Danio rerio: one gene and its partners. Each later gene encodes a partner of the first gene's protein in a complex. Links are inferred from orthologs where the notes say so. Each region holds a gene or a part of one and is shown in the gene's direction. Other genes may lie near its edges. The genes, in order: chd5, mta1, cdk2ap2, mta2, cdk2ap1 and mta3.

Region 1 (3,500 bases):
ATATTTATTTGTAATTATTAGAGTTAGTACATGAAACATGTAGTAAGGGCACCTTAAAACAAAGTGATACCCAATGATCATTATGTAAATGCATGTATTTACATTTGTTTTTATTAAAAATGTTTTAATAAAAATGAGTTACATTGTTAATCTTAAACTTAACCATCTCACTAAATTCCCCACTTAAATAGCAATACAACTTTAATATTATAAGTACATAACCTTTTTTACAATACTTTTTTTCCAATAAACCTAGCACTTTTTGATAGGAGTACATTGTTTAAAATGTCCGATAAGAAATTGGACCACAATCAGTAGTTATGCCATAGAAAATGTATGGCTTAAATTAAAATCTATGGATGTGAGGTGATTACAAATTATAAGGGCCTCTGTTTTAATGTTCCTATGTATAAAAATCTATTTTGCGATTAGTTTTAGTTTGACTGCCAGTGGCGTACTGGCTTTAATGAAAAAATTTACAAAGCAAACTAAATCTAAAAAGACTGCATTACAGTGAGTTTAAATCGGCTTTAGTATTTGACAGCAAGGGTATCATAAATTGTACTTTTTCCTGAAAAATGTTTTAAGAAGGAATTTTCAGTAGCTCATGTTTGCACAAAAGATCCTTACAAAGGATTCTTTTTTGGCAATTTAGTGCACAATAAAAAATGGCTAATTAACAGTTTGCTATATTTTGTTTTGTTATTTTTCATTTAGTAATGCTTTCGATCAGTGGTCACCAAACTTGTTCCTGGAGGGGCAGTGCCCTGCAGATTTTAGCTCCAACCCTAATCAAACACACCTGAACAAGGTAATCAAGGTGTTACTATTGATTACTTGAAACACCCAGGCAGATGTGTTGAAGCAAGTTGGAGCTAAACCCTGCAGGGACACCGGCCCTCCAAGACTGAGATTGATGCCCCCCTGCTTTAGATGGTAAAAATTGTGTTGTTTAATAAAGTGATTGTCATCAACATTTTTAGTAGTTGGGCTCATTGTCCAGTTTTTATGCCATAATTCACATGAACTTTTTGGATATTAGTTAGTTTCAACTGAGATTTTGCGAATTTATGCAATTTTTGCCATATTGACACTAGCAGCGACCTTGTAGCTGCCTGTCACTCTGGGTGGCGACCTGCTGCAAATGCAGGTCTGTGTAGGTCTACAGCACGATGATTACAACTGGACTCTGAGCTGAGAGAGGATCACGTGAGCTCCACTGATGCTTCTATTTGCTGTCACACAAGAAAGTCGATCTTTATTTGCATAAAGTTAAAGGACTTTATTGCATCACTCGACATGCCCACCTGGTCGCCAAGGATTTCTGTCGCTCGCATAGACAAAGGTCGGCGGAAGTCGCTCACTCTCTGTTGAAATAAGCTGACACTTATCGCTTTGCCACTGCTAGTCGCTCGTAGTGAGAATGAGGCTTTGGTCACTAAAAAATTTAGTCACTAAAAATTCTTACTTCCTTAAATTGCTTAGTTACCCTAACTTGCACTAGTAAAACTGGCTAAAAATGTTAAGTTAAACCTTGTGTAGCTAAAATAATTAGTTGAAACCTGAATAACTTACTTAAATAAGTTAAAGTAACATAAAAGCGTTTGTTGTCATTTTTACATTGTTATTCACCAAAACACAAAAAGTTACAAATTGCAATGAGACATGGTTTGAGACGATGACATGTGGCGTATGTGGAGACAGGAATGCAAGTAGTAGCTTTTTATTCCAGCTTTCCTGGCCTTTCTTTTCTGCAGCCACAGAAAAGTTCAAATTAAATACTTAAACTTAATTTGTAAACTTATTGTTTTCTTTTCAAATATGGATTCTTTGGTTGTTGCTGTCATTCAGGGAAAATTTCAAATCAACGGTTACCCACTGTAACTACATGTTTACTATGTTTCTATATAATGTCCGCCCTATACACAACTCCTTAACTTTCAGATTTTGATTGTAATGCAATTGAATCTGTCCCTTAAATTGAACTTAAATTGAATTGAATTTATTTTTATACAAGTGGTCAATCTCCTCTTCTTTAATGTCTTTACTGGTATTCACAGGGGCTTCCCAGCGGGCTGGATGACATGTCAGACAGAGAGGATCATGGCCACAGGTCGGGGAGCGAGAGCAGCACCTACAGCGCCCTGAAGAAGAAAAAGAAGAAGCCCAGAGAGAAGAAAGAGAGGAAAATGAAACAGCGAAAGAAAGAGGATGATGAGGATGAGGACGATGACGATGATGGAAACATGAAGGTTCTCCTGTAGAAATGCTCAGTTCTGTTTTATCACTAATCATGAAAATAAATGAATGCTAGTTTTTTTCATGTGATAACAGGAACCAAAGTCGTCCAGTCAGCTAATGCAAGAGTGGGGTCTCGAAGATGTCCAGTATGCCTTCTCGGAGGACGATTATAAGACTATCACCAACTACAAAGCCTTCAGCCAGTTTCTTAGGTAGGATTTCAAAGTTTTCCTTCTGCGTGGACGTTCTAATGCCCTGCTGTCAACATGTCTTGTTCTATTTTAAAATGTTCCTTCTGGCAAATGCTAATGCCAGTATGAAGTAATGACATTATGATGACAGGTTTTCTAATAAGAGGCATTGAAACACGATGTACTGTCAGACCCACTTGTCTACTGGAACCAGGATAATCTTTTATTTCATAGACACTCTGTTAGTATAAGCTGGCGATTTCATTGCACAGGCCTCTTTGAGTAGTGATGGATGATATAATAAATAAAATCTGACATGAAACAGATTCTTTTCTTTACAATTTGAACTATACTGATATTAACGCCAATACTGATTGATTTTAGTGCTTTTTTCAAGATCGATAATGTTCATTTTTAAATGAAAGACAAAATCGGTCAGAATTAGTTCACTTTAGCTACTACTACTTAAATGGAAATACCTGATACATACTGTCAATTCATAACAAATAGGAACATGAACACCATTAATAATATTAATATATATAACATAATACAGCATTTTACAGAAAAAATAATTACATAATCTATTATTGTTAAAATACATTATTATAAATGTAATTAAAATAAACTAAAATACCAAAATAAACTGTGTTTGATTGGAAGTTCTTGAAGATTTCTTCATCAATTTCTCATCTCAATCTTAAGCTTTCTCTGTATTTTAATTATTTAAAACAACGATGTTCAGAAACATCCAAGTACACTCATAGGTATATTTAAGAATGACAGAGGTAATTTATTCACTTCATTTTGATTGTTCGTAAATATATTATTGGGGCTGCACGGTCGCACAGTGAGAAGCACGTTCGCCTCACAGCAAAAAGGTCGCTGGTTCGAGCTTCGGCTGAGTCAGTTGCCATTTCTGTGTGGAGTTTGCATGTTCTCCCTGTGTTGGCGTGGGTTTCCTTTGGGTGCTCCGGTTTCCCCCACAAGTCCAAAAATATGTGGTACAGGTTAATTGGGTGAGCTAAACCGTTTCTGTGTGGAGTTTGCTGGATGCCCTTTGAAAAG
Region 2 (3,500 bases), on another chromosome or scaffold:
GAATAAACATGCATAAATGCATACTGTATGTACACTAAAAAAAGTTGACAAAAAGACAACAAATATCTTAATGTTACCTTTTTTTTAGAAAACTAGTCAGTTTTCAACTTAAAACCCACAAAGTTTAACTTAAGATTTTTAGTCAGTTTAATTGATTTAGGTTGAGATGACTAGAAAAGTTCATTTGATTCAACTAAAAAAAATAAAGGCAGCAAGATTTGTTTTCGAAGTGGACAGTTTAAAGACTTGGTCCTCTATTTTGACGATCCATGCGCAAAGTCCAAAGCGCAGGGCGCAAAAGCATTGAGGACGTGTCAAAATCCACTTTTGCTATTTTAAGGATGGAAAAATTCTCTGCGGTGCATGGTCTAACAGAGTTGAACTTATTCTCTTAATGAGTTATGGGTGTGTTTTGAGAATAAACCAATTAGAGTGTCTTCTCCCATTTCCTTTAAGATTCAGTTGCGTTGCACCATGACGAGAAAACAGTTAAACAGCTCTTCTGCCATGTGAGAATGAGAGAATGAGCCTCCTCATTCTTTACCTTCGCTAAGAAAACATGTTGCACGCACAGACATCCATTAGCCTATTCATAATTAATTTAGTTTGTTAAGCTCAAAGATTTGTTTCAACACTACTTCTAAATTTGGTTCTAATTTCCAGCAAAGAAATAAATGACCAATAATAACGAAGTGTGGTCAATAAACGAGTTATATCCTAATACACATGCTATGCCCCATATGGTCTAAAACCTTTTTTAGACTAGAACGCCTATGGTCGCACATAAGAGCGCAAACGCAATTGCTATTTAAACAGCGTGGGGCAAAACGTTGAAGCTGAAACTAGCAAACAACAATTGCGCCGCTTTTGGTCCATTGTGCGACCCTTATGTTTTCAGTTACAGGCCATCTTAAAAATTAACCTAAGCACTGATTGTTTCGGTTAATTTAAAATTAAGACTAAGTTTATGTTTTTTAGTTCTGTTTACTTTAAATAGATAGTTCACCCAAAAGTGAATAGTTACTTATTACTTATTTACTCATTCTCAAGTGGTTTAGTTTTTGGTTGCTCTATACACAATTCACAATTCTGCCCTGGCCTATGTCAGTGAACTTATTAGGCCTTATTCAGCTTGTAGACCATTAAGATCCCATGACCAGTTTCTTCTGTCTGTCCCTCGGTCTCGCTGCAAATCAAAAGGTGATCGAGCTTTCTGTGTTGCGACCCCAAGGCTCTGGAACAGTCTCCTTCTAAACATCAGGATTTCTCCTTCATTGGATGCTTTTAAATCTAAATTAAAGACTTATTTTTACTTTCTTGCCTTTGAGTGACGCATGCATGTTATTTTTTATTTTTATTTTAGTATTACTTTTGAACATATACATTCCCTTGTATTTTTAATAACAGTTTTTTTTTGTTTTATTGTCTAGTTGATTTTGTTGTAGAACACTTTGGATCAACTACGGTTGTGTAAAATTGTGCTCTATAAATAAAGTTTGCCTTGCCTTTCCTACCTTTAATGTTTGCTCAGGTAAAGGTTCACACTACAGCGAGTAGAGCAGAGAGTGATGTAGGAAGGATCTTAATTTGTGTTATTGTTTTTTTTTTTATATTTAGCCACCAGCTCGTATCAGTGGTACTCGTGGGGTCCTCCCAACATGCAGTGCCGACTCTGTGCCTCCTGCTGGACCTACTGGAAAAAGTACGGAGGTCTGAAGATGCCAACCAGACTAGATGGAGAGCGGCCCGGACCCAACCGCAACAACATGGTGGGTGAAAAGTGGATGTTCTCCAAAAAAAATAAAAAACAAGCTGCAGTTCTTGACATGAAATCCTCTTCTTCTCTCTCTGCCCCCAAGTCTGTTTTATTCAGTCTGTTTTCTCTTTTGCTGTGCAATTCTGTTTTATTACACCTCTTTGTGACTGTTAAATGAACGCCCTGAAAGAGCGAATGAGCCAAACTGTCTTTCATCTATGTTTAAAGTGGAGTTCGTTCCTTTAAGATATGCAGTATTTAGATTCTTCTGTCAGCAAGAGCTTGACTTTCATATCTCTGTCTGTGTTCAGAGTCCTCACGGTTTGCCCGTGAGACACAGCGGAAGCCCCAAGTTTGCCGTTAAGACCAGGCAGGCTTTCTACCTGCACACGTCTCAGATGACGAAAGCCGCTCGACGCGTCTGCCAGGACCTGCTGAGATCCAAATACTTGGCCAGACACCCGTACACACCTGTCAACACCATCGCTATCAAAGCTGAGTGTGAGTAGGCACATATTTGAAGATTCAGTTCATTAGATGCAGTTGCTTATTGTGGAAATTATGTGTGAAGTATGAGCTGATGTAAACTGTGTAAAACTAATTATAAAGTACTACTAAAATCTAATTGTTAAGATATATAATATATATATATTAAGGGTGTCACGATCTTCCAAATCCTCGATTCGATTACATTTTTGATTCTAAAGGCACGATTCGATTTTCGATTATGAATCATTAATTAATTAATGACCAATTAATTATTTGTAGCCTACCGTTTAAACTACCTGACCTGCATGGTCTTTGTTTTACCCATAAACAAATCATACAGTAAATGAATAAAGGCAAGATACACACATAATTACCACCTGTCAATCACTTTTTCTGCGGGACTCGTGAAAAGGCAGTGATCTGTGTCGTTATAGTGGCGTCGGTAAAAAAGACGCACAACTAACAGGAACCAGCCAACAGTATCTGAGGTGTGCGCTAAAATGACAAGTGAGTAAAAGATTGAAGCAGTCTACTAATCCTCTGACTGCCTGAACCCGCTGTCTCGGAGCCCATGGCTGTGTGTGTGCGTCTGTGTCTGTGTGTGTGTGTCAGAGGTAGAGAGGAAGGAGGGCTGCTCAGAAATGCTACACGCCATTGTGGATCTCAAATCGTTGTCGTTCTAAAATGCCATTTAAAAACAAAGACAGTGTAAACAGGGCCTGAGTGTGTACTTTTCGTGAGCGAATTTGCAATGGGGGCGGGCGGAGGATCGCGATGCCGGTGTTGTCTATATATATATATATATATAGATTTTAGGAGGTCATAATTGTATTACATTTAGCAATTTGAACTTTATAATTAAAAAAAATATATTTTTATTATTGTTTTGATACATTTTCTGTGAAAATCCCTGTGTTTTTCTATAATTGCTAGCAACATTTAAGGAATTTAAAAGTTTGCTTGAATTAGATTTAATATAAAAATTAGATTTTTATATTCTTTATATTAATTGTCCTGTTTTATTAATATAATTTCATAAAGCTCATGAATGTTTTTTAAATATTAGAATTATTGGAAAAATTAAAAATATATTATTTACTCTTTTGTTTACATTCATTTAATGTAATGTAATGTATTTAAAAACTAAGTTTTATTTGTTGTAATGAGTTTAAGAAGTATTACATTTCATTAAAAATATGAAAAATAAAAGCATATTTGACAGCCTTCATTTCGTTGGGGGAAATCATCTGCTTGT
Region 3 (3,991 bases), on another chromosome or scaffold:
CTTGAAAAAAAGGCAAACGAGCTGTGTGCCTGTGCACATTTGAATAATGTCAGGCTGTAAACGGGTTTGGCCTTTTAAAAAGCTGTCAATCAAAATGTCCCTGTCGGGCTCACGCCGAATTCTGTTGGGCTTGGGCCCTGTCGAGCCTAATTTTTATGGCCCAATTACAGCTCTAAGACACAACTGTCAGTGAGTGCCGTCTTTCAGATGTTAAACTGAGGTCCTGACTCTCTTTGGTTAATGAAACTTTTCATAAAAGAGTAGGGGTTTAATCCCAGGGTAATCGCCAAAATTCTCTCAATTAGCCCTTACCCATCATGGCCTCCCAATCATCCCCATCCACCGAATTGGGTCTATCACTGTCTCGCCACTCCACCAATAGCTGGGGTGTGGTGAGCCCAGTGACGCTGTAGTCCTGTGTCTGTTGTGGCGTACAGTCTAGGTACGTGGCCGGCCGGAAGTGAGATATGCACATAAATATAGCAGCATTTTTTTGTGATTCTATAACAATAATTAATGTTTTTAATAAATTAATATTTTTCAACAGTACATTTTTGTACTGTTGGGTCAGTAAGATTGGGTGTAGGATTGGGGTGCGGGTAGACAATAACAAAATACAATGGGAAATGTAAAAATAAATAATATAAATCATTCTCGCTAGCTTCTGCCAAAGCCGTGTGCGATCTAGTGACAACCCTGGTGTGGTGGTGGTGTGGAGAGACCTTCACATGATTGTGAAGTACTACAGTTATATTGGCCATACATGATAAAATGCAATATATATAAAAAATACGCATTTACAAAATAAATAATAAAAAAAATTGTAGACTGCAAAATGTGTGTTTAATGTATCACTTTGGCATTAAAGACTTCCAAACAGGCATACAATAATGCATAGTTTGCTCTAGCTGGCTCTATTTCATCAATTACAAAATAATATTATCTAATAATCATAATCATAATAATAATAATAAACGCCTTCGACTATCAACATTCCACACGCTTATATTACCAACTCACTGTTTTCCACTTTCTACAAACAAGAAAAATCCAGAATGAAATCTTCATTGTGGAAAAGAGAGGGAGAAGGGGAGAGAGAGGCGGCAGAGGCGCGTGCCTGATGACGCAGTCACTCTTTTTGCCGAGTATCATGGGAAAATAACATAGCAGGCTAGCACGCGCAGGAAGAGAGGAGAAGAACCGACACCTCCGCGCACAGAAACTATTCCCGTGCGTTAATATTCATATTTACCTCCCCGAACAACTACAAACCGGCGAACAGAAACCACATTTAACCGTTCAGCGAGTCGTGAAGTGTTCCCGGTTGTTGTTGTCGGTTTCATTTGTCGGCTTGTTGGATATTTAGCGCGTGTCGCTGTCGAGCGAGTTTGCGGAAGAGGTGGGTTGTTAAATGTACCTTTCATAAATCACCACAGGCATCCTGCCGTCTTTAAACCACAAACTATATGTTTACAACTCTATGAACGCTGCACGTGGTGTACATTTTCACAAAATAGTGAAAAGTCTGTCAAATGCGGGCGATTTAAATGGACAAGTCGCGGTTTTCGAGCCGGTTAAGTTGAGAGGGGACCGTCATTGCTGTCCGCTAGCCTTTATCTTGTCTCACCTCACTATGCATATCTATACATCTGCTCTTTGTGTTCGCATTAGGTCAACGCCGTTCCTGCTTCGGACGCCAAAGCCCAACGAGATTACATTCGGGGGATAAGCAGAAAGTTTTCATCACGCGAGGTTACAGTCGACGGCGGTGTAAATATGAGTTACAAGCCGATCGCCCCCGCACCCACCGGCTCCAACCACACTCCTCCAGGTGAGTTTCATTGTGCTCTCTGTTCATTCATTTTTACGTGCTTCTTTCATTTTGAGGTATTTTACGCCTATCATCTTTTTAAACGCCCCGTTTTAATCCCAAGGAAAGGGTCAGTGAACCTACAGTAAAAGAGGTCAGAGGCACGGATAAAAGGGGGAGGAGTTAAAGGAGCCATGGCCATCTGTCTTGCTCATTACATAAATGTGGTTTAACGTGCTGCTAACCGCGCCCTGCAGCGTTTATTTTTAAAACCATAACTGTTTCCCCAGTGTTAGTGTTGTGCCATCACATCTGTGTGTCCCAGTCTTGCCTCTGTTTCTCCTCACTTCCTTACACACACAAACACACTGGGTGGCAACGTTTCATTGGTCGAATTTGGCCTTTTGACATTTCCTTGATTTGTGATTGGTCTTTATCTTGTTCTCTGGTTTCAGGATCTTGTGGCTCTTCTCCATCACTGGCCTCCTCTTCAAACTTTAGACCAGCATTTAGTGACTTCGGTCCTCCATCGATGGGCTTTGTACAGGCATGTTTTGATGACATTGGGGTTTTTTTGCAATTTGCTGTATTGGAACAATGATTAATTTCAAACCTGTACATTTCTGTTCTTTTTGACACGACCAGTCAAAATTTTGAACTACGTTTTTCAGATGTTTTTGGAAAAGCCTCCTTGGCTCACTGTGGCTGCATTATTTAATGAATATAATATAATTGCTGTAATGTTGTGTTTAACATTTTTATAATACAATTTTATGAACAATTAACACATTTATATAGGCATTGGGGCATAAATGAGGCAGTGTATGTTTTGGTTTCATATTATGTTAAGATTAAATGTAAGTGTTCTTGTAATTAAAATATCCAAAACCCAGTAAAAGTGTTTTTTTGCTAACTTGTGTACTTGCTTTATCTCAAATGTTAAGTAGAAATTGAGAGAAGTGAGCAGTTTTAACTTGACACAACCGTGTCCAGTGTTGCCATGCTAATTATGTCATACATTTGGTGGCAAAGAGAGCTGAACGTGCTGCAATTTAAGAAACTACAAAAAACAAAAAAATAGCTATTACAAAAAACGGCAGCAAATTGAGAAAAGATCTTCATCGGTTTGACAGCACACGTGCTGCATTTTCGCACAACGCAAACAAATAATAAAATACGCTGCATTTTCACACAACGCAAACCTTTTACGACACAGTTTTTGGGTCACCTTGAAACATTTTCGTTGAGTCAAGTTTTTTGTGTTGTGAGCAAAATCAGTGCGTTTTCGTAAATTGTTTGAGTGTGACAAAATGCAGTGCGTTTTCGTATAAATTGTTTTATTGTAAAAAATGCAGTGCATTTTTGAAAACGAGTATGACAAAATGCAGTGCGTTATTTAAATTGTGTGTGACAAAATGCAGTGCATTTTCGTAAATTGTTTGCATTGTGAGAAAATGCAGTGCATTTTCGTAAACTGAGTGACAAAATGCAGTGCGTTTTTGTAAATTGTTTGAGTGTGTCAATGCAGTGCATTTTCGTAAATTGTTTACGTTTTGAGAATTCAGTGCGTTTTCGTAAATTGTTTGGGTTGTAAAAAATGCAGTGCGTTTTCTTAAACTGTTTGCGTTGTGAGAATGCAGCTGTTTTATTATTTTTTTTGTGTTAAAAAAGCAGTGCGTTTTTTATTTATTTATTTTTTTTTATGTTTGCGTTGGGAGAATTCGCAGCACAGCTGTCAAATGGATAAGGATCTTTACTAAATTTGCTTGCGAGTTTTGTAATTGCGCGTGTTTACTTAAATTGCAGCACATTGAGCTCTCTCGGCCACTGTACATATACCCTTGATTTATGTTTTGCTTTTATAGAAAACTGAAAATGACGGTCCTTGTTTTATGTCGCATATTTTATTAGACTAATCAGAGCAGCAGTATAACAGAAGCCTAAAATTTATTTAGTATGATAAAACTGCTGTGCTGCTTCACATGATCACAATTTGGGGGAAAAAAGGAAGAGGTTGACTGTGGCATAATAAAAGCTCCACTGTTTTTCTGCTATGTCGCACTCTTCTCTTATCAGCAATTGCTTGATTGCTTGGAAGTCCTAATTCCAAAATGTCATTTATTTCTTTAGAGGCAAAGCAGAATTTTCATTATCGTTATTTCAGTCATCAGTGTGACCTGA
Region 4 (3,500 bases), on another chromosome or scaffold:
TTATAATTACATAGTTTGCATTCATTTGTATATACATTTTATATTTTACATAGCTATTAATATGCAAAAATCAAATAGCCTAAATCATTGGATTTGTTTAAGGGTGCTTTCACACCTGTGAATCGATTCAGTTGTTCCGAAACAGAGATTAAAATTGTTACATTGTTGCTCTTTGCTCTTGGAGCGGTTCGCTTTCACATTGCAAAGTTTCTAATCGGACCAAAAGAGCTAAAACAAGTCACGTGCGAGTAAACTCTCCTCACATTGGTCAGAGTGTCAGGGTTTATTTTGCAGCGTCCCGCTCAGCTGTCAGGAGAGGTGGTGGTTTGGTGGTGATTGACAGGGTGCGCGCGTGTGACGTGTCTGAGGAGAGATGCGGTGGGGAGGGGTGAGAAGGGTGCGCGACGATGCCTATTTGAGGACTGGGAGAGAGACGCGAGATTACCGGGAGATCATCACTCGTTTGCGGGCATCCGGAGACTCGCGAAACTTCCCGCCCTACTCATAATTCTCTCTTCATATAGCCGTAAGCCTATTACATATCCATAAAACACTGTGATATAAGCGCGCTCGGATCGGATCGCTTTCTCACTGCAATCGAACCGCTCCAGGGTTCGTTTCAATCGAGCCGAGACCACCTCACTCAAGCGATCTCGGAGCGATTACTTTGGCGCGGAACAGAGCGCGATTGCCCTGTTCACATATGCCAATCGAACCGCGCTAACTGGGCAAACGAGATACGTTCCGAAACAAAAGTGTAGGTGTGAAAGCACCCTAATTCGTAGATTAAGTTATGTTGGCTATTTTTTTAATGGATCTTTTATAAGAACTGTAAATAATTTTTCCAATGAAAAAAAATGTTGGTTTGTGGGTTGCTCCGACTTGTGGCCAACAGTGGACATTTCAGAAAGTTTGCGGCTTCTTTCTCTACTTTTGCTAAGACACTGAGGTGTTTATAATGCAGATCCTGGAAAAGGGTTATCAGCACTGGTTTGGCATCAACTTGTCTGTTTCAAACTGTGACCATCAATGTCTTTATTTTCACTCCTTTCATTTTGCTTATTTAGCACAATACGTCTATAGTTGCACTTGTTACCGCCCGGCGGGTTAACAAATACATGTTGTACATTTATGCAGCAAAACTTAAAAAATACTAATTAAAAAAAAAGAATATTTTAAACCATTTAACTGATACATTAATTGATAAAATATGCATTCCTTCGGTTAACAGTTAATCAATTAATGCAAACACCCCTACTTTGTGTATTTTATACTTGCAATTAACTTTCGGCTGTGAGGTCTCTTGAAAATCTCAAATGGTTTGTACATGTCTATCTTCTGTTTACCAATCAAAATGTTCATCCCTCCTTCAGCACCAAACCCAACCCCAACCAGATCACAGCACCTGGAAATAAACCTGGCATGAACGGTGCCACCGGCTACCAGAAAGGCCTCAGTTGTGAAAGCTGCCACAGTGAGTCAACTCGCCACTGCAAACATCCACAAACAGTATTTAGATACAAGCTGAGTAATTCCCATGCACTATACTGTATGTGTTATCATGGCCTGTTGTTCTTGCAGCTGCCCAGTCTCAGCAGTGGTATGCATGGGGTCCTCCTAACATGCAGTGTCGACTATGTTCGTCCTGTTGGATTTACTGGAAGAAATACGGTGGTCTGAAGACTCCAACTCAACTAGAGGGCGCCACAAGAGCCAGCTCAGTATGTCAACACCTACGTCTTTTAAAAATATATACAGCCAGAAAATGAGTATATAGCTAAATGAACATCATATCTGTCCAATAGGAAGCAGCTCCGCGTGGTCACATGACCCGTCAGGAGGTGCAGGGAATGTCCCCGTTTACCAGCAGTGCGGGACGAGCTAAACTTCTGGCCAAAAACAGGCAGACCTTTATCCTGCAGACCACCAAACTCACTCGAATTGCCCGTCGTGTGTGCCAGGACATCCTGCAGTCTCGTCGAGCAGCCCGTCGCCCGTACGCTTCCATTAACGCCAATGCTGTCAAAGCTGAGTGTGAGTCTTTTTATGCAATATATAAATAAAAAAATGCTGTTTTATACAGTTGAATGAAGATGTGTCTGACTGCCTCTTTCTTTTCTTTTAGGTATGATAAGACTTCCCAAAGCAGCAAAGAGTGGTGTGAAAAACCGGCCTATTCCTCGACCATCCCTCATCAATATAGTTAAAGATTTGGGTATGGCTTCAGCATTATTTCATAATAGAGACATGCTTACATCTTATCAAATTAGCTGACTTTTAAAGCCTAAAGTGTACAGTCAGTTTTTATGTATATGCAAGTGTCTACACACAATGTGCATTGGCAGCAGGTATGCATATACTTTGTCTACTTGGTCTCAACACTGAAGCAGACCACTCGCTTGACATTTTGAAATAGATGAGATGAATCAAAACAAGAAGAATTATTACAGATCTTATTTAAAGGCTGTGTCCAAAAGCTCTAAAATGCTGCCTTTGGATACAGCATTCAAAGGTGTGAAGGTATTAAGGGCGTACTCAAACTATGTACAGTTGCCTTGAACTGGGCCAAAGCACGCTTATCGCCATTCCCATCTCCCCTGGCGGCCCGCACTCGCCTTACATTCGAGCCCTGGCACGCTTACGTCATCGCTGATGCGCTGTTCAGTAGAGAAGCGCTCTCGCTCAGCACAGTGGAGATTTCTTACTGTTCAATGACACTTGTCCTAAAAAAAAACTAACCAATATTCATTTTTAGTATAATCTGAGGGATTGTTTTTGTTTGTCAAGCCACTTCTTTTGATTAAATTAACACTGATGCGAATGTAGTGAGTTGCAACTGTAAATGTAAACACACACCTAAATAACTGCAAAGTATACTCTTGGCTTCGTGGTGGGGAAAAAACTACTCAAAAGTGAATAAGTATGGCTCAAGACTGATCATTTGACTCTTATTTATTATTTTACACAATTTTATTCAGAGTATTCAGAGTAATATGTACTCGTTTTATTTATTACTTTTTTAGCCATTCAAGCTCCTTTGAAACTCAAAGCCCCTCGAGGTGCTCCAACCCCGATCAACCGTAACCAGGTTAACCAGCCTCGCAGCGCATCTGCCCTGCTGGGCAAAAGGCCCTTCGACAATGTGAGTATCCCTTACTAATGTACATTAGCCTTTCCCAGAGGTAGAAAAAGTAGCGTACATTGATCTAAGCACCCTCATTGGCCACAGGCTGGAGGTCATTTGCTCTCCACCAACGGAAGACCGTTTGCAATGGGAATGAGAGCAGCCAACCAGTCCGTCATCAAGAGGCAGAAAGTCAGTCAAGGCGATGCTCCCAATCCTGTGGTGTTTGTGGCTACGAAAGACACCAGGTATGCGTTTCAGGGTGTGTTCACATTTGATTACTTTCATTCAGTTTATGTATTCTGATGCTGTTATGGGACGTTCACACAAAATGCGTTTTTCCTTTGCAACGTGCTACTTTCCTATTGTTTTCCAA
Region 5 (4,163 bases), on another chromosome or scaffold:
GCGAATCTCTGCTCACGCACCGGTTTCCTTCATAGACAAAACTGCTCGCGAGCTCTCAAAACACCGGCTGCTCACGTGCGAATGATCTGCTCTCGCTCGGTCGCACTCCTCTCGTGCTTTTCCAGAGATGCTTCAGCGTACTGTAGTGTTAAGAATAGTGAACTGATAAATGAAATACAGTGCAGTTTTACTACAGTAAAGTGTGGTGAATTGTAGAATAATATACAATATATTGTAAAAAACTTAAGCACTGGGGAGTTTATTATACACTTACCATAGCAACTGTAGTATTACCACAACAGAGTAACTGAAGCACTTTACTGTACTTCACACAACACTGTACAGCAGACACGTGTGCACTTTATTTCAGTGATAAAATGGGACTGATAGTGGGATTTATTTGAAGAGTGAACAGTACAGTAGGCTATAATACATAATCAAGTCTTTACCTATTTTCTATCACAGCTACACTTCTGCTTGCCAGATTGACCAATAATTATTGGCTAGAAACTGCAACAGCCATGGGAAAGGAGGAAAGCTTTTGTAAAACTTTGGGAAAACTCTGAGGGATGAGTTTGTTAAAACAAAAAAGAGGCCTTCAAAAACATCTTCAGTGATGATGATGATGATCTTTTTACTCGTCTGATTTTACTGTCTGTTGTTTTGGAGTGCCCCCTGTCAAAAATATATCTCAATGGTGAACGTGTCGAGTATAAAAGTCTTAATCTGTTTTGTGAGTTGTGCGGCGCCAGGTGAAAGTATAAATCTGCATTTAGATGTTTGTTTTTCTGTAGTTCACTGGTGCATTTAACCTGACTTTACTACTGTTCAATCTAAATAACTTTATTTTACCCCTAATTTTGTGCTTCTACATTTTCTGTCGTGTGTTCTTGATATTGCGATATAGGTCTTAAATTTAATACTTAATGGTCTTAAAAAGATCGTAAAAGGTCTTAAATTTGACATCATGATATCTGCAGAGACGCTGTTAACATGCTATACAGTGCAGAAGTGTGTGATTCGGGACACAGCCAGAGCCTCACTCCTCCTCCGTGTGTGTGTGTGTGTGTGTGTGTGTGTGTGTGTGTGTGTGTGTGTGTGTGTGTGTGTGTGTGTGTGTGTGTGTGTGTGTGTGTGTGTGTGTGTGTGTGTGTGTGTGTGTGTGTGTGTGTGTTTTCCTCAGGTCTGATCATCCCGCAGAACTGTGTGTCTCCGCTGGTCAACATCCTGTCATCATCAGATCAGAGTCAGCAGCTGGCGGTGCAGCAGCAACATTTATGGCAGCAGCTGCACCCGCAGAGCCTCACACACACACCTCTCACGTAACACACACACACACACAGGACAGACCGACTGCGCTCAGGGTTTCCCACAGTCCCCCGGGGTCTGCTTCTCCTCCAGCATGCGGACAGACGCTCTGCATGGATCAGCTCCGCTTCAGGACGTGGCTCTGTCTCCTGGCCGTCTGAGAGCGTGTGGCGGGCCGGCTGGAGCCTCTCCAACTCTTGCTTTTTAATGGTTCTTGTTTTTGTGTTGTTGTGTGGAGGAGCGGCTCCCGGAGCTCGTCTGCTGTACATGTTGGACTCTTCTCTCTCCGTGTATATCTGACATGTGATGTTCTTCTGCTCTGCGTGTCCTTCATCTCTGCACGAGTTGCACTACTGACGGATCTGATGTACAGAGAATATAACTGACTGCAAGACCTCTACCTCTTGCATTTGACCAATAAATCTTGTGGATTACCTCGATTTGACGGCTGTGGTTCATGTGATGTGCTCCTCTGTTGTGTTCAGCTCAGTGGAGGAGAGGAGACGGCACGCCTGCTCACCTTTACATTCTGCAGTTCATCTGCAGTTATAAGTGAGAGTAAGTGAATCATGTGCATTTATACAGTTCATACACATGACGACAACACCACCAGTGTGCAGGACAACAGCGCCAGTGCTTCACCACACACCAGCTAGAGGTGGAGTGGAGAGACAGTGATGGAGCCAGTTCAGTGGATGGAGCTGATGGAGGGAGTTTGGCCAGGACACCGAGGTTACACCCCTACTCTTTACCAGAAGTGCCCTGAGGTTATTAATGAGCACAGATAGTCAGGAGCTTTGTTTTAGGTCTCATCTGTAAGACTGAAAACCACTGATAGCCCCACCCTAAATTACTGAAAGCTCTGCCCTAAATTACTGATAGCCCCACCCTAAATTACTGAAAGCTCTGCCCTAAATTACTGATAGCCCCACCCTAAATTACTGATAGCCCCTCCCTAAATTACTGATAGCCCCTCCCTAAATTACTGATAGCCCCTCTCTAAACTACTGATAGCCCCTCTCTAAATTACTGATAGCCCCTCCCTAAATTACTGATAGCCCCTCCCTAAATTACTGATAGCCCCTCCCTAAATTACTGATAGCCCCTCTCTAAATTACTGATAGCCCCTCCCTAAATTACTGATAGCCCCACCCTAAACTACTGATAGCCCCTCCCTAAATTACTGATAGCCCCGCCCTAAATTACTGATAGCCCCACCCTAAATTACTGATAGCTCAGCCCTAAATTACTGATAGCCCCACCCTAAATTACTGAAAGCTCCGCCCTAAATTACTGATAGCCCCACCCTAAATTACTGATAGCCCCTCTCTAAATTACTGATAGCCCCACCCTAAATTACTGATAGCTCCTCCCTAAATTACTGATAGCCCCTCTCTAAATTACTGATAGCCCCTCCCTAAATTACTGATAGCCCCACCCTAAACTACTGATAGCCCCTCCCTAAATTACTGATAGCCCCTCCCTAAATTACTGATAGCCCCACCCTAAACTACTGATAGCCCCTCCCTAAATTACTGATAGCCCCTCCCTAAATTACTGATAGCCCCTCCCTAAATTACTGATAGCCCCACCCTAAACTACTGATAGCCCACCGTAAATTACTGATAGCTCCACCCTAAATTAATGATTGCTCCGCCCTAAATTAATGATAGCCTCAACCTAAATCACTGATAGCTCCACCCTGAATTACTAATAGCCCCACCCTAAATTAATTATTGTCCCGCCCTAAATTATTGATTGCCTCACCATTAATTACTGATAGCCCCACCCTAAATGAATGATAGCCCCTCGCTAAATTGCTGATAGCCCCACCCTAAATTAATGATTGTCCCGCCTTAAATTACTGATAGCTCAACCCTAAATTGATGATTGCCCTGCCCTAAATTAATAATAGCCCCGCCCTAAATTACTGATAGCTCCACTCTAAATTAATGATAGCCCCGCCCTAAATTGTTGATAGCTCCGTCCCTAAATTAATGATTGCTCCGCCCTAAATTAATGATGGCCTCACCCTAAGTTACTGATAGCTCCACCCTAAATTAATGATTGCCCCGCCCTAAATTAATGATAGCCTCACCCTAATTTACTGATAGCTCCACCCTACATTAATGATTGCTCCGCCCTAAATTAATGATAGCCTCACCCTAAGTTACTGATAGCTCCACCCTAAATTAATGATTGCCCCGCCCTAAATTACTCATAGCTTTTCCTTGAACACAGACAGTTCAACTTTAAATTATTTCTAGCCCCGCCCTAAATTACTGAAACCTTTTCCATCCAGACACTGATGCGGCTGTGGCAAGGTAAAAAGTTGTAAGACACGATGTCGTCACGTGGAGGAGTTTATGCGTCTATAAATCACGTATTTCATATTTAGAGGGTGAAAAAACAATTCTGGCGTATTTGAAGAATTTTAAAGGGACAGTTCATCCATAACTGACAATGCACTCACCCGAGAGTGTGTTAAACTGTTATAGGCTTCACTTCTCTGTCAAACACTGAAGATGATATTTTGAAGAATGCTGGAAACCTGTAACCATTGACTACCATAGTGTCTGCTTTTCTATTATGGCAGTCAATGGTTACCGGTTTTCAACATTTTTTTTTTTTAACATCTTCAAACAGAATAGTCAGAGTCAAAAGTGAGTAAATATTGATTTTTGAGTGTACTGTCTCTTTAAAAATGTTACAAGCCTGTAACCATTGACTTCAATAGTGTGAAACAAATACAGTAGAAGTCAATGGTTACCCTTTTCCAGCGTTCTTCAAAACATCGTATTTGGTGTTCAGCAGAAGAAATAAAGGTGGTGTGAGAGTTAAAGGGTGAGTAAATG
Region 6 (3,500 bases), on another chromosome or scaffold:
GCTACCGTAAACCACAGTCCACACTTTGTCTCTTTAAAAATATAAAGCAATGAATATGACAACTTGGAGTCTTATGGACTCAATAGTCTGATTTCACATGGCCGCCATTTTTAAAGCAAAATCTAGTTCAAAATCAAAAATCAAAATCAAATCCTGCGGTGGGAAGAAACCTGGAAGTTTCGCCTGGCTGTATATCTTATCTGCGAAAAGAAAGTGAAAAATGTATTATTTCTCCACCTTTCGAGTGACCCAACGGTCCATTCTGAATTGATAGTGAAAATAAAAAAGGGACTTCAGACCTAATTTTCAGCTAAGCTAAGAGAAATGGCTACAGTTTGCTAACGTTATCTTTCCCAAACAAACGTTTTAGATGCCATTTATCAAACTCAAATTAATAAACGATTCTTTCACTATATTAGACTTGTCACGATACTGAATTTCAGGACCAATCGCTACTGAAATAAAAAAAAGTAAATTTCCTGCTAACATTTAAGCGCTCGTTCTTAAACACAGCTGATTTGCCATTGTGTTGACCAGTGCTCAACAGAAATTGCTGTGTTTGGCCTTGAAGGTCATCAGTTCACTTCATCGATGTTTTGCCAAATGCAAACACAAACGAGCAATCTGCTGATGACTCGACTGATCTTCATGGCTTTAAAATGCTCCAGTGTCGGTGTATCTGAGCGTTGAACTGATGACCCTCACGGCCAATCACAGTCATTTCTGTTGAGTACTGGTGAATACAATGGCAAATTAGCAGTGTTTAGGAACGCACTCAACTGCGCTTAAATGTTAGTGGGAAATGGATGTTTTTAAAACTTCAGTACCAGGAAAACACTATAGAGAGTGTGCTATAGAGGATTGGATTGTTTTATCACTCACCTGGTTACACATCCCCACTGTGTTTACCTGGTCTCTAAGGTAAATCATCAGGGGCGATCTTGATTAAAAGAAGACCTTAACTAATCGGTGTTAAAGCTAAACTCTGCAGTGCAATGGTCCTCCAGAAACCAGTTTGGACACCACCAATGCTAATCAATTAAATGCTGAGTTTGATCTCATATACTTTTTAAGTTTTTTTTTCAAATACATCAGACTACATACCCAAAATATGCAACACACTTTCAATCAAACCCAAAGAGGAAGTTACAGACCATGGTAGCCAGGCTTTGCTCAGAGGAGAGCAGTTCCCTCTTGACAGGCACTTGTAAATAGGTCAGTTTTACAGGGAGAGCTCATATCAACAGGGAAAGGGAGCGAGTCACTTGCTCTGCGTTTGTCCAATCAGAAGTTTTCAGCTTCTTTTTTTTTTTTTCTGCATCGTCCCCTCCCATCATGCGAAAACTCCATTCTATGCTTCCATTTCACCTCTGTCTCCACCCCAGACACGTCTGTATGTATCCCCAGCCATAAGAAGTTGTTCTGACATCTGTGTCCTGACGCACGAGGGACCTGGGTTGGGGGCATGCTGTTTGGTTTGTCTCTCTTTTATTTTTCTTTGTTTGAATGTCTTGTGGGCAACCAAAACACAAATAAAACCATGGCTGAAACCATCCTATCTGAGTCCTTGTAGTTTCATGTGTCTCGTGTACCTGTCCATCACTCTGTTGCACGCACTCCGACAGGCCGAGCCGAGCGGCAATCATGTGAAATCTCTGACAGCATGAGCTCCATCGGCTCCTGCCGTGCCTTCATAACTTGTTGACATGCACACACTCATGAGAAAGCTGCCGTGAATGCAACATTGCATTTGTTTTCCTCTTTCCAACCTCATTTAACATGCTGGCTGACCAGGTTATGTTCAACATCTTGCCTGCCCATCAGAGACTATGCATGACAATAATCAGGTTTACAACGTTGAAATGTAACGTGCAAATGAGACAATGAATTATGGGGGTTTAATACAACTCGGAGGTGAAGAATACAGTTTGTTTTACACGTTGAAGTTGGAGAAAACATCGTCTCAGCACTTCCCCAAAGGCACAGGTTTCATTCAATTTAAAGAATGGATTTTGTGTCAGTAGATAATGCATCACCCAATTCAACTCCTTTTTTTCCACATTCGATATAAATTGTTGAAGAGGTAATGAATTGAAGTTATATCGGTACATCTTCAAGACTGTTTCTCTCCAGGTTTGCCAAGACAACAAGAAGAACTGCTTGAAGAGAACAGGTTTAAACAACTTCCGACACCTCTGGACTTTTAATGAATTTTAAGGCAAAGTTGGAGAGATTTTAATGGGTTCAATGTGGTCCGATCAATGTTCTGGAGTTCAGCTGCAAGAAATATGTTCACTAGGGCTGAAAGAATGAACAGTGTAACAAATGAGATTTGACTCTGCCTGCTGCTTCCATGAAAATCGTTGTCCGGTCAGAAAGATTTGTCACCGCAGGGTTGGTGTTACGCTGCAACATCCATCAAGCCAGCCTGTTCAGAATGCCTCATGTTGGTGTCTAAGTGTGAATGTCTCTTTCATGCTCTTTGACTTGCTTCTATCTCCGTTTGTCTGTTCTGTACTGCTGGTTGATAAATAGATATGATCCGGGTGTCCGAGGGCATGACAGGGAGACCTTTGAAGCCCAAATCTGCTCCAAGGAGCACCCTGACCAGCGTCTTGCAGTATCTTGGTGAGCGACAAGAGATCTGATTTGTCTCCACTGAGTTGTACCTCTCAGATCACAGTGAATCTTCTGTCATTTCAGAGTCCCGTCCAGCAACTCATGTTCAACGGCCTCATCGCACCCCTGGCCTACAGGTGCAGCCTCCACGACGCCTGCTTTCTTCTCTTCCAAGTCATGGCCCGCTTGGAATGTTGGGAAAACGAAGCTACCATCACCACAGCAGGGTTGAATCTGCAGAAAGGAGGGCTGGTGCTACAGGACAAGGTGGGTTTACTGTTAAAATGGAAACTAAAATGGAAAGAAAATGTGTAGATTTCTTACTACATACCTCTTTTTTGTCGTAGAAAATCCAGCTCATATTGTGGGGCCCATTCTGGTAAGTATCAGACTTTATTTATTGGTAACATTGGGATTGACTGAAGCCAGTTTCTGGAATTTGCTGGTGCTTTTTATTTCTCTTAAAATTGAAAGGTTACATATTAGATAACATCTTACTGGCTTTTGTGTTGTAACCAGGCAACAAGGCCACAGAATGATCGTTTGTGGGAACATCATAGCATGTTGAGGACATGACATGGTAGCTCGTGACCACAAGATCTTAGAGTAGGAACATATTCACATCCAGAGCAATCAGAACAGGCAGGAAATTGCCAGGGCCCCTTATTTTGAGGGTGCCCCCTTGGGATTAGCATTGTGCCTAGAGGGGTAATAAATGGTAATTCTACTCAGGGGGACCCACCCTGGAATGTGATCATACTGTACCAAGAGGGAAGGAATATTTGTATCGTAGGGGAACCACCCTTGTCCAGAAGTCATGGCCTTAAGTTGTTAAAGAAACATGGGTTTTGCAACTGTGGAGGAAACAGGGATAGAGTGCT

Evidence for each region.
Region 2: chd5 (region 1) and mta1 share a complex: the UniProt entries of both Homo sapiens proteins name them as parts of the nucleosome remodeling and deacetylase (NuRD) repressor complex. The link is inferred for Danio rerio from reciprocal best matches to the Homo sapiens genes CHD5 and MTA1.
Region 3: chd5 (region 1) and cdk2ap2 share a complex: the UniProt entries of both Homo sapiens proteins name them as parts of the nucleosome remodeling and deacetylase (NuRD) repressor complex. The link is inferred for Danio rerio from reciprocal best matches to the Homo sapiens genes CHD5 and CDK2AP2.
Region 4: chd5 (region 1) and mta2 share a complex: the UniProt entries of both Homo sapiens proteins name them as parts of the nucleosome remodeling and deacetylase (NuRD) repressor complex. The link is inferred for Danio rerio from reciprocal best matches to the Homo sapiens genes CHD5 and MTA2.
Region 5: chd5 (region 1) and cdk2ap1 share a complex: the UniProt entries of both Homo sapiens proteins name them as parts of the nucleosome remodeling and deacetylase (NuRD) repressor complex. The link is inferred for Danio rerio from reciprocal best matches to the Homo sapiens genes CHD5 and CDK2AP1.
Region 6: chd5 (region 1) and mta3 share a complex: the UniProt entries of both Homo sapiens proteins name them as parts of the nucleosome remodeling and deacetylase (NuRD) repressor complex. The link is inferred for Danio rerio from reciprocal best matches to the Homo sapiens genes CHD5 and MTA3.

What each region holds. Positions count from the first base shown.
Region 1 is NC_133186.1:31,704,378-31,707,877, reverse strand, and holds part of chd5 (chromodomain-helicase-DNA-binding protein 5), read left to right. Parts: intron 1-2,060; coding exon 2,061-2,252; intron 2,253-2,334; coding exon 2,335-2,453; intron 2,454-3,500. UniProt on the Homo sapiens protein: ATP-dependent chromatin-remodeling factor that binds DNA through histones and regulates gene transcription. May specifically recognize and bind trimethylated 'Lys-27' (H3K27me3) and non-methylated 'Lys-4' of histone H3.
Region 2 is NC_133192.1:39,468,717-39,472,216, forward strand, and holds part of mta1 (metastasis-associated protein MTA1), read left to right. Parts: intron 1-1,617; coding exon 1,618-1,769; intron 1,770-2,067; coding exon 2,068-2,257; intron 2,258-3,500. UniProt on the Homo sapiens protein: Transcriptional coregulator which can act as both a transcriptional corepressor and coactivator. Acts as a component of the histone deacetylase NuRD complex which participates in the remodeling of chromatin.
Region 3 is NC_133176.1:43,113,650-43,117,640, reverse strand, and holds the start of cdk2ap2 (cyclin-dependent kinase 2-associated protein 2), read left to right. Parts: upstream 1-1,191; 5' UTR 1,192-1,399; intron 1,400-1,671; 5' UTR 1,672-1,776; coding exon 1,777-1,831; intron 1,832-2,265; coding exon 2,266-2,357; intron 2,358-3,991. UniProt on the Homo sapiens protein: Acts as a component of the histone deacetylase NuRD complex which participates in the remodeling of chromatin.
Region 4 is NC_133182.1:17,905,426-17,908,925, forward strand, and holds part of mta2 (metastasis-associated protein MTA2), read left to right. Parts: intron 1-1,373; coding exon 1,374-1,474; intron 1,475-1,581; coding exon 1,582-1,721; intron 1,722-1,805; coding exon 1,806-2,034; intron 2,035-2,125; coding exon 2,126-2,215; intron 2,216-3,023; coding exon 3,024-3,142; intron 3,143-3,229; coding exon 3,230-3,372; coding exon of another isoform or gene 3,373-3,386; intron 3,387-3,500. UniProt on the Homo sapiens protein: May function as a transcriptional coregulator. Acts as a component of the histone deacetylase NuRD complex which participates in the remodeling of chromatin.
Region 5 is NC_133185.1:50,699,559-50,703,721, forward strand, and holds the start of cdk2ap1 (cyclin-dependent kinase 2-associated protein 1), read left to right. Parts: upstream 1-1,363; 5' UTR 1,364-2,040; intron 2,041-4,163. Other genes in the region: sbno1 (protein strawberry notch homolog 1), read left to right, coding at 1,184-1,326. UniProt on the Homo sapiens protein: Inhibitor of cyclin-dependent kinase CDK2. Also acts as a component of the histone deacetylase NuRD complex which participates in the remodeling of chromatin.
Region 6 is NC_133187.1:27,050,415-27,053,914, forward strand, and holds part of mta3 (metastasis-associated protein MTA3), read left to right. Parts: intron 1-2,535; coding exon 2,536-2,628; intron 2,629-2,703; coding exon 2,704-2,886; intron 2,887-2,966; coding exon 2,967-2,998; intron 2,999-3,500. UniProt on the Homo sapiens protein: Acts as a component of the histone deacetylase NuRD complex which participates in the remodeling of chromatin.